2 linked regions of the Arabidopsis thaliana genome follow. The protein of the gene in region 2 interacts with the protein of the main gene of each other region in a pairwise test. Each region holds a gene or a part of one and is shown on either strand. Other genes may lie near its edges. The genes, in order: AT2G24170 and AT3G01360.

Evidence for each region.
Region 1: the proteins of AT3G01360 (region 2) and AT2G24170 interact in a protein complementation assay, tested with the Arabidopsis thaliana proteins (one large-scale study listed by BioGRID).

What each region holds. Positions count from the first base shown.
Region 1 is NC_003071.7:10,273,553-10,279,299, reverse strand, and holds AT2G24170 (Endomembrane protein 70 protein family), read left to right. Parts: upstream 1-2,033; 5' UTR 2,034-2,111; intron 2,112-2,178; 5' UTR 2,179-2,405; coding exon 2,406-2,513; intron 2,514-2,857; coding exon 2,858-3,022; intron 3,023-3,118; coding exon 3,119-3,228; intron 3,229-3,312; coding exon 3,313-3,421; intron 3,422-3,494; coding exon 3,495-3,607; intron 3,608-3,684; coding exon 3,685-4,993; 3' UTR 4,994-5,201; downstream 5,202-5,747.
Region 2 is NC_003074.8:135,591-140,403, forward strand, and holds AT3G01360 (plant viral-response family protein (DUF716)), read right to left. Parts: upstream 3,142-4,813; coding exon 2,182-3,141; 3' UTR 2,180-2,181; exon of another isoform or gene 2,004-2,179; intron 1,971-2,003; 3' UTR 1,871-1,970; coding exon of another isoform or gene 988-1,870; 3' UTR 904-987; downstream 1-903. Other genes in the region: AT3G01350 (Major facilitator superfamily protein), read left to right, coding at 368-903, 988-1,870; CFM2 (CRM family member 2), read left to right, coding at 3,443-4,132, 4,266-4,773.

The sequences.
Region 1 (5,747 bases), on a different chromosome or scaffold from region 2:
TTGTGGGTTGCCCGTAAAAGAAAAATCAACTCTTTTAAAACATAATGTTTTTTCATAGAGGATTTCAATCCTTTTGTCTCTGTTAGAATTTTTTGTGCAGTTCAAAAACCCTAATCAAAGTATTTCACGATCACTTAACAAGAAATCTGAAGAATCATTCTCTATTTCTTCAAGTTTCTTTTTATGACCACATCAAAAAAAATTAAATCGTCGAAACTTTTGATTTTAAGTCAAAACAGAGCATTTGTAAACTACACACTTGTAATGGTAAGTTATTTGTGAATACACATCCATGATTAGATGTTTTATTTTTGTTTGATTGATTCGCAAGTAGTGACTAGTTTTGTATTTTGTTACTGATATGATTCGTTTGACTCCGAGTATTTTAGATCTAATAATCTGGAATATCAGAAAGTCATTAAGTTGAAAAATGCTAAATCTAAACGACAACAAGCTAACAATGAACCAAAAGGACCTAAAAAACTGGAAAGAAAACTAAGAGATGAAATAGGAGCACCTAAGCCACATAGAAAAAAGGTGAATGAACCAGAAACATTTAAAACCCAAAGAAAAAAGGGTGATGAAGCAGAAGCATATAAAACAGAAAGAAAAAAAAAGTTTGATGAAATTGAAGAAAAAAAGTCTGTCTTCATGTTCGTTGCACTCGTCGTGAACCCCGAACCTCAAATGATTTAAAGATTAAAAAAGTATTAGACTGCTTTCGATAATTCCTTCTTAGTTCTATGAAACACTATAATCTATTTAGACTACCTCAGCGTATCAATATTTTTTTCTTGTATAGAATATCCAATCACGACCAATCGAATTTCATCAATCTATAAGAATGCCATTCTCATGCAATTTTTCTCTTATAGCCAACATGCTCATGCAATTTTGATTATTTACTTAAATAAATAAATAAATAGAAGTTTATATAAGTGTCAATAATAAGCTTAACCTTGAGATTCTTTGAGAAACGTTGCATTTATAGAAGAATTTGTCAGTAATTCTAGTAAGATACGAGCAATCAATTGGTATTTTTGATTGTTACTTCTCTCATCTCACAAGTTTGAATGGTTACGGCAGTTAAGATGGATAAATCCGTCAATGGTTTAATCCGAACTATTTTTAAAGTAGACAACAAACCGTCGCAACCAACTCTATTTATATGTAAAAACGGTATGTGGTTGATCCGCATCAGTTTTCTTTTTTAAATCCACACAGAAGTAATTTGTGAAATGGTAAATAAAACGTGGTCAAATACACAAACGAATTTGTCCACCTTAACCACAACAATCATTTAGACCCTAAAATTGATAATAAATGGACAAGTGAACATAGAAAATATGGCAATTTATGTTATTTTAGACAATCGAAGCGATTATTTAGGCGTTACCTGAGAGTCTAGTGCCTAGATAGAGTGTAAACGACCGCCTAGACCATTTTTTATAATACTGAACTTTTGTAATCATTTATTTCGGAGGTGGTGCACACGACAATGCCTACATTACTCGTGAAAACTATATTATACCTCAGAATACCAAAGTCCATGTTCCCGATCCCAATATCATCAAAGAGTTGGCCCATATCAAATGCTATGTTAATTTTTCTTATCTTTTCAAATTATTCTAATGTTGTGTTGCCAACGACTGCTTTTACTTTATAATAGAATAGAAATAATAGAAGTTAGTTTCCGCGATTACTATTATATGCTTACATTTATACCGGACTAGTTATCTCCAGAAGAAAACCGTCCGTTTTCAATTTGAAAACAGTCTGTAAAAGAAAGACTTACATTTATCTAATGCGGATTTGTATTGTGTGTGTGTGTGCTTTTTTCTTACATGTATTTATTGGTAATGTACATTTAATTATATGTCAAGGTGGTTGCTGGTGTGTGTAAGGTTTCATAATCTGCTAGAATAGTTAAGAGGTCACCTTCATTTACCAAATGGATTTTGTCTTCTAATTGATTTAAATCCATTTTTTTCTTTTATTCTTTGAATACTTTTTCATAATTATTTCGTATCCTCCACACTAACTCATTTCTACTTTGCTACATTTACAAGTTTCATCTAATCTACTTAAATTAACAAAAAAAAAAAAAAATTGTTTCCTTATTTAAAAATTAGATTTCTCGTAAATTGGACTTTGATTTTAATTATTGTCTATTCAAAGTTTTATTTTTTTACCTTAAAAAGTGTTGACTTTGATATTTCATTACCTTAAGAAGAAGAATCACCGACAGCTCCAACTTAGGAAATCTCAACCGTTGATTAAATCAAACGAGATACTAAAATATCCAACGGCCATAAATCGTCCAATTGCCATGTTTCTTCCCACTCTCTTCTCCTTCATTTAAGAAATTTCACTCTCCGAAGAAGAAGACGAAATCGAGCAAATCCATGGCGAAAGTTCGGATTTTGATCTTCACCCTTGTCTTATTCTTCTCCCTCAATGTCCATATCCATGGATTTTACCTTCCCGGCGTCGCTCCACAAGATTTCCAAATGGTCAGCCACATAAAATCATCTCTGTATCTGTATTTCACAAATGCAGCTTCTTCTTAGAGCTTTGATTCACACTGGGTCTAGATTTTTTTCTGATTTAGATCCAACGCAATCGATCAAGTAATCTTGTTAAAATTGGATCTATGGCTCTGTTTTATGAGATTTGGGTAATTTTGATCTTCAGTTACCACTGAGTGTTGTGTTTAAAGAGAATGTTTCATTAGTCTATATGTATTAGCCATTGTTTAGACTTGTTTCTGTGTGAATCTAGCTTTTGGAGTAGAAGAATGTATAATGGTCATTATCTATAAAGGTTCAAACTTTGGAGTTATGGTTTTGTTTTTCAGGGAGATGCATTGATGGTGAAAGTTAATAAATTGACATCTACAAAGACTCAGCTTCCATATTCCTATTATTCTCTTCCTTATTGTCGTCCAGAACATATTGTTGATAGTGCTGAGAATCTCGGTGAAGTTCTTCGTGGTGATCGAATTGAGAACTCTCCTTTTGTGGTATGTTCTTGTTTCTTCTTGGTTCTTTCTCTATCTGTCTTGGTTAAGTGGTAGTTGTTGAGTTGTTTTTAATGTCTGTTTGTTTCTTTGTTGCAGTTTAAAATGAGGGAATCGCAGATGTGTGCTGCGGTTTGTCGTGTGAAGCTTGATAAGAAAACCGCAAAGGCGTTTAAGGAGAAGATTGCTGATGAATATCGAGTTAACATGTGAGGAGATTGATTTTGTCGCCTTCGACTGAATGTGTTTTGTTTTTCTTCTGTTTTTATGAGGAAGATTGATTTCTTATGCAGGATTTTGGACAACCTTCCCCTAGTTGTTCCGGTGCAAAGGCCAGATCAGGACAATGTTGTAGTGTATCAGCATGGTTTCCATGTTGGTCTCAAGGGAATCTTTGCTGGCGTAAGAGCTCATCATCACCTTTTCTGAATATGTTTCAATGGAAAGAGTTCTTATTTATTTGATTTTCTTGTAGAAAAAGGAGGAGAAGTATTTTATCCACAACCACTTGACCTTCACTGTTAGGTATCACAGAGATATACAGACCGATTCTTCAAGAATCGTTGGCTTTGAAGTCAAGCCGTTCAGGTAGCTTTTTGTGATTTAAGGACTTTGACTCTGTATTGTGTAAGCGACTAACATCTACTGATTTTATCTCGATGCAGTGTCAAACATGAATATGAAGGTCAATGGAATGAAAAGGCTCGGTTAACGACTTGTGATCCGCATACAAAGCGTGCAGTCACTAACTCTGAGTCTCCTCAGGAGGTTGAAGAAGGGAACGAGATTATCTTCACATATGATGTTGACTTCCAGGAAAGTGAGGTGAAATGGGCGTCTAGGTGGGACACTTACCTTCTAATGGCTGATGATCAGATTCATTGGTTCTCAATCGTTAATTCTATGATGATTGTTCTTTTCCTCTCTGGTATGGTCGCTATGATCATGCTAAGAACACTCTACCGAGATATTTCCAACTACAATCAGTTAGAGAGTCATGAAGAGGCCCTCGAAGAGACGGGTTGGAAATTGGTACACGGAGATGTTTTCAGACCGCCAACAAACCCGGAGTTGCTTTGTGTTTATGCAGGCACTGGAGTTCAATGCTTTGGAATGATTCTTGTCACCATGATCTTTGCTTGTCTTGGCTTTTTATCTCCTTCAAACCGTGGTGGTCTTATGACGGCTATGCTTTTGCTTTGGGTTTTCATGGGACTATTGGCAGGATACGCGTCTTCACGCCTCTACAAGACGTTAAGAGGAACCGAATGGAAAAGAAACGCTCTGAAAACCGCATTCATGTTTCCCGCTACCGTCTTTGTCGCCTTCTTTGTCCTTAATGCGATAATCTGGGGACAAAAATCATCCGGTGCAGTCCCATTTGGTACAATGTTTGCTTTGGTTGTCCTCTGGTTTGGTATCTCTGTTCCACTTGTTTTCATCGGTGGCTACATTGGTTTCAGAAAACCTGCACCGGAAGATCCAGTGAAAACCAACAAGATCCCGCGGCAGATCCCAACACAGGCCTGGTACATGAACCCAATCTTCTCCATTTTGATTGGAGGCATTCTCCCATTTGGCGCAGTCTTCATCGAGCTCTTCTTCATACTCACCTCAATATGGCTACATCAGTTCTACTACATATTCGGCTTCCTCTTCATCGTCTTCATCATTTTGATCATCACTTGCGCAGAGATCACGGTCGTCCTCTGTTATTTTCAGCTGTGTAGTGAAGACTATCAATGGTGGTGGAGATCTTACTTAACATCAGGCTCTTCCGCGGTTTACCTCTTTCTTTACGCAGTCTTTTACTTCTACACCAAACTTGAGATCACAAAGCTCGTCTCTGCAGTGCTCTACTTTGGGTACATGCTCATAGTTTCATACGTATTCTTCGTCTTTACTGGTGCAATTGGTTTCTACGCATGCTTTTGGTTCACCAGGCTTATCTACTCTTCGGTTAAAATCGATTGATCTTTAATCACCTTCTTAGTAAGCTGTATCTTAAATCTTGTTCTTTTTCGTTCTTTTGTTTCCTCCTTTTAAATTTTGTGATGATTTTGAGATATGTAGACATAAACTTTTATTTTATTGTAAACATACATAGAGCTCAAGAGTACAACAATTGTCTCATAATAACAGCAACTTGTCACACACTTTTATCAGCAATCTCAGTTTTTATTTCTTCCATTCTTAGTAGATTAGAAACTAAGTTTGTTACTACTGCAAGGTCATACAGTTTACATTTTTTTAATAACTGTTTCTAATCGACAATTTTTTTTTGGAATTCATGAAACTGCGTACCTCATGTTTTTAGGAACATAGTTTTCAGAATATTAAAAATGAAATAAAAAATAATGAACTCGATCGACAAGGTCAAGTCAAGATAGTATGTGGTAGATAAACAAAAACAAAAAGAAACGTATGTGGTGGATAATTTAGAATTGAATGAGTCAATCAGTAGTCTATATGGACCAGTGGCACAAATCACTGAGCAGAGATGCATGAAGAATTAGGAGGATAAGAAGTCCGACGAGTTCACACGATAGATTGTTCTCGAAGTCAAGAACTAAACTCCAGAAGTGTTTTTATTTTCCTTTTTTCTTATTAAAGGCATACTCAGAAGCCATAGTCATAACCTATTACTTACCACACACTGCACACACATACACACAGAAAGTAATTATGAGTCCACAACAATCTTATTGCTTTTCTGGTGTTACGTTGT
Region 2 (4,813 bases):
TAAACTGATAATGGGTATTAACTTGTGCAAGAAAAACTGGTTTAGACGATATATCTAAGGAAGTTATAAGTTAGGTGTTGGGTCATTTTCCGAGTTAAGGAATAGATCAAGTAGACCATCTTAAAGAGTCTTTAAGAAATTAGATACTTGGTCACCGTCCGATTAGAAATTTTCTTTTACCACTAATGGAGTTTATATGGATCCCTTTAATAGTTGGGTTGATAATGGAATTTTGATTAGAATGTTGATATAGTGCTTATAATGGGTCTTATCGGATCTTATAGGCGAAAAAGCTAGCTTAGTGGAAACTCGAAAATCTTCTTTTGTTAGTAGTTTTTAATATATTATTTCTGTTTTTTCTTTGAAGGGACTAGTGGGATTGACATGGACGGCATTTGCTGGGTCACGTTCAGCTACTAAGACTATCTCTTCTTACTTTCTCTACTCTTCACTATGTCTTGTCTCAATCGGTTTAGGCGTCTTAAACCCTTCTCTTCAAGCCTTTGGTGCAGACCAACTCGACCACGACCTCGATAAGAATTTCGATCTTTCCTCGGGTGATCAAAAGGACGCGAAAGCTACCCGAAAGACTCAGTTTTTCCAATTGTGGTACTTTGGCGTCTGCACCGGCAGCCTTATGGGTGTCACAGTCATGGCTTATATTCAAGACACTTTTGGTTGGGTTCTCGGTTTCGCCATTCCTGGTATCGTGATATTCCTGTCGATTTTGGTGTTCATGTCGGGTTGTGGAATTTATGTTTATGCTCCGGGCGCCCGTCTGAAGAAGAAAACAACTACTACACCTTTTGAGAAGATTCTTAAATTCATTAAAGGGAGAGTAGTGAAGCAGAGAAGCATATATACACTTGCAGATGAGAAAGATTTGGATGCTATGGAGCTTGAGTAAGTTCGGAAAAACCACGATATCTCATGAAACTAATTAGTCTTTTAAGTTTTTTAGCGACTAATGATTACCTGTTTATGTAGGCTAGAGGAGAGGCCTCTCTGTAAATGTGAGACCGAAGACATTGAGACTCCTTCAACAACCTCCAAAGGATTGGAAGATGACGAGAGCTCGAAAACGGTTTTCTCTGGAATTGATAATGTTAAGTTAGTGATTCGCCTTTTCCCCATATGGATGATGCTTCTCATGTTCGCGGTTATCTTCCAGCTACCAGCAACCTTTTTCACCAAACAAGGTGTGACTATGAAGAGAAACATTGGGTCCAACTTCAAAATCCCACCTGCAACCCTGCAAAGCACGATCACATTATCAATCATCCTGCTTATGCCATTATATGATAAGATTTTGATACCTATTACCAAGAGAATCAAGAAAAACGGTACAGGTATCTCTGTGATGGAGAGAATGGGAGTCGGAATGTTTCTATCCATCATTGCCATTGTTATTGCGGCAATAGTCGAAAGGAAAAGACTAGCCATAAGCCAAAAGATGAAGACTTTACCTGATTATGATCCAGAAACCGTCCCACTGAGCATCTTCTGGCTGCTGCCTCAGTACATCCTCTTGGGAATCTCAGATATATTCACAGTCGTTGGGATGCAAGAGTTTTTCTACAGTGAGGTTCCTGTAAGAATGAGAACAATGGGATTTGCTCTCTACACAAGTGTTTTTGGTGTTGGAAGCTTTGTGAGCGCCGCACTGATCTCAATTGTCGAGGCTTACTCGAGCTCAACAGGTGACCGACAAAACTGGTTTGCAGATGATATGTCGGAAGCTCGGCTTGACAAATACTACTGGCTTCTTGCTCTTACAAGTACAATAAGCTTTGTAGTCTACATATTTCTATGCAAGTTTTTCAAGAGTAGCAGTGATCAAGGCGATGAAAAAGAAGAAGCCCCTAAATGAAAGAAGAAAAACTTTGATTCCTTTGACACAGTCGACTTAGATAACCGTTTGCCATAAGATTCCACGAATGATCTAACTGTAGTAGTAGCTTTAGAACTAACTAGCAAACCAAAAGAGATAGACAACTGTAAGATTTTTATTCATAAGAAACAGTATCTTATAATATCAAATGCAAAAGATTCAACATTATTATTATCTCGTGTGTTTGATTACATATCATCATTAATCCTCCCATTGACCAACAACATTTCTAAAATGGACAGATTCAAAACAGACAAAAAAAAAAAAGTCTGAAACTTTGATTTATACCTTTAATCATGTGAGCTGTTTCCATTGAGACCAACTTCTTTAGCTACGTTGCTCTCTTCTCGAACCTCGTCTTCTTCATCAGAGTCAAGTGTGAAAGTACTTAAATTCTCCAACTCAGCTCCGAGAGGTCGATATTTAGAATGATCTTGACGGAGATAACCATTCTTGTTAGCAATGACAGAGAACAAACCAGTAGCCACAACTACCATTAGAGCCAAATGACAGTTAAATTGAAGAGTAGCTATAGCTTTTGCTCGGTGATAATCACCGTGTCCTTTGCACTTGATCGTGAAATTGCCTCTGCTCTTCTCGTGAAACGTACAGTTATTAGTGATCAAACCGGTAAAAAACGATACACCCATTTGCAGAAACCATGTTCCTTGCAGAATCAGACCGATCCCACGACCTAATTTCGCAAACCGATGCGTGCTAGAGTCGGATTTGAGCTCAAAAACCGTGGAGAAGACGCAGATGGCAATGGGCACGAGCATGAGATCGTAATAACGATTCTCGATTCCAGAAACATCTTTCTTTTGCAGGTAGAACATTAAGAACTCCTCAATGAAGCCAAAGAGAAGCAATAAAGTTGTAATCGAAGACGGAAGTGCAACAAAGACAGCGTTTTTGGAGTTGACCAGATATGTTAGAATGGCGTAATATAGGAATAGTACTGCCACTGCCACGATCTGTAACTGGATCATTGACCCGACCCGATCGCGAGATCCGATTGAGCTGAAGAAGGAGAAAAACGAGTTCGCAATAAACAGAGACGAAAGCAAAGCTACGGGGATGGAAGATGATCCAACAGATTTTGGCGGCGAAGCTCTGATCTGAGCCATAGGGGAAGATGAATCAGCAGTACCAGAAGATGAATTCGGATCCAGGTTCGATGAGTCCAGTGACTCCCACGCGCCGATTACTGCAAATCCACCGCCGGCGACGGCGTAACTTAATATACCCATGACTCCAATCTTCACAATCTCTGCGAATCAGGTTATACTTCTTTCGAGGAAATTTGGATTTTTCCGCCATTAAAGCTTAACAGAATCGAGCTTCTGATCTGATAAACCGGAAAGATCCGACCCGACCCGAATAACCCAAAATGGGATAGGCTAGTAGCCCAATAACTCAATATGGGCCTACTGGGGTCTTCAAATAGTTCATGTTTAAATATTCTAACCATCACGTGACAATCATGTGACCTCTATGGATATGCTGCTGCTGCATATAGCTCCGCTTGCGTAATCCAGTTTGCTTGGAGAAATGTTGCTTCCACTGTTTCACCAGCAACCATTGATACTTGCCAAAACCTTTCCCGATCGAATTTTCCCGCCATTCCTTGTTCCCAACACCCTAGTTTCGCGACGCAATGTCAGTCGAGCGAACTCCGGCATCTTCTGTAGTTCTGCTTCCGGTCGAAAGACTCTTCCCCAATCGGCTATCCAGAGAATCGCTGAGAAGCTTCGTAGCCTTGGATTCGTGGAAGAGAAGCATGATTCACCGACTAGGAGAATCACGGGAGAAGAATCTGGTAAGAATTCCCCAGGAGAGATATTCGTTCCGTTGCCTAAGCAGCTTCCGATTCACCGGGTCGGGCACACGATTGACACAAGCTGGAGCACGCCTAGTTACCCGGTTCCGAAGCCCGGGTCGGGTACTGCCATTTCAAGGTACCATGAGTTGAAGAGAGTGTGGAAGAAGGAAACGGAGATGGAGAGGAAGAAGGAGGAGAAGGTTCCGTCGTTGGCGGAATTGACATTGCCGCCGGCGGAGCTGAGGCGGTTGAGGACGGTGGGGATTAGGTTGACGAAGAAGCTGAAGATTGGCAAGGCTGGGATTACGGAAGGGATTGTGAATGGGATTCACGAGAGATGGAGGACGACGGAGGTTGTGAAGATTTTCTGCGAAGATATTTCCAGAATGAACATGAAACGGACCCATGACGTCTTGGAGGTTTGTTTGCCTCTCTACTTTTGATTTCATGATAGGGATTTGATAGTAACATTTGACTCTCAATGAAAGATCTATGAACATGTCAACAAATGGCACAGACGGAAATTCATACTTGTCCTGGTTGATTTTACAGACAAAAACTGGAGGCTTAGTCATTTGGAGGTCTGGAAGCAAAATATTGTTGTATAGAGGGGTAAATTATCAGTACCCTTATTTTGTATCTGATCGGGATTTGGCACATGAAGCTGCTTCAGGAGCATCATCTATGGATCAAGGAGTGGTTGATAGTAGAGAGAAACAGAGTATTGCAGAATCTTCTGCCCCGAGTATTACTAATAAAATGGTTAAACCGATGTTGACGCAAGGCGTTGGTTCTCCGGATAAGGTTAGGTTTCAATTACCCGGGGAAGTACAGCTTGTAGAAGAAGCAGACCGTTTGTTGGAAGGATTGGGTCCAAGATTTACTGACTGGTGGGCATATGATCCCCTTCCCGTAGATGGTGATCTTCTGCCAGCCGTAGTACCTGACTACAGGAGACCATTTCGCCTTCTTCCATATGGCGTCAGTCCAAAACTAACTGATGATGAAATGACCACAATAAGGAGACTTGGTAGACCACTCCCTTGTCATTTTGCTTTAGGTAAGCTTGGTTTCACCTGATTTTAGCTTCATTTAGACAC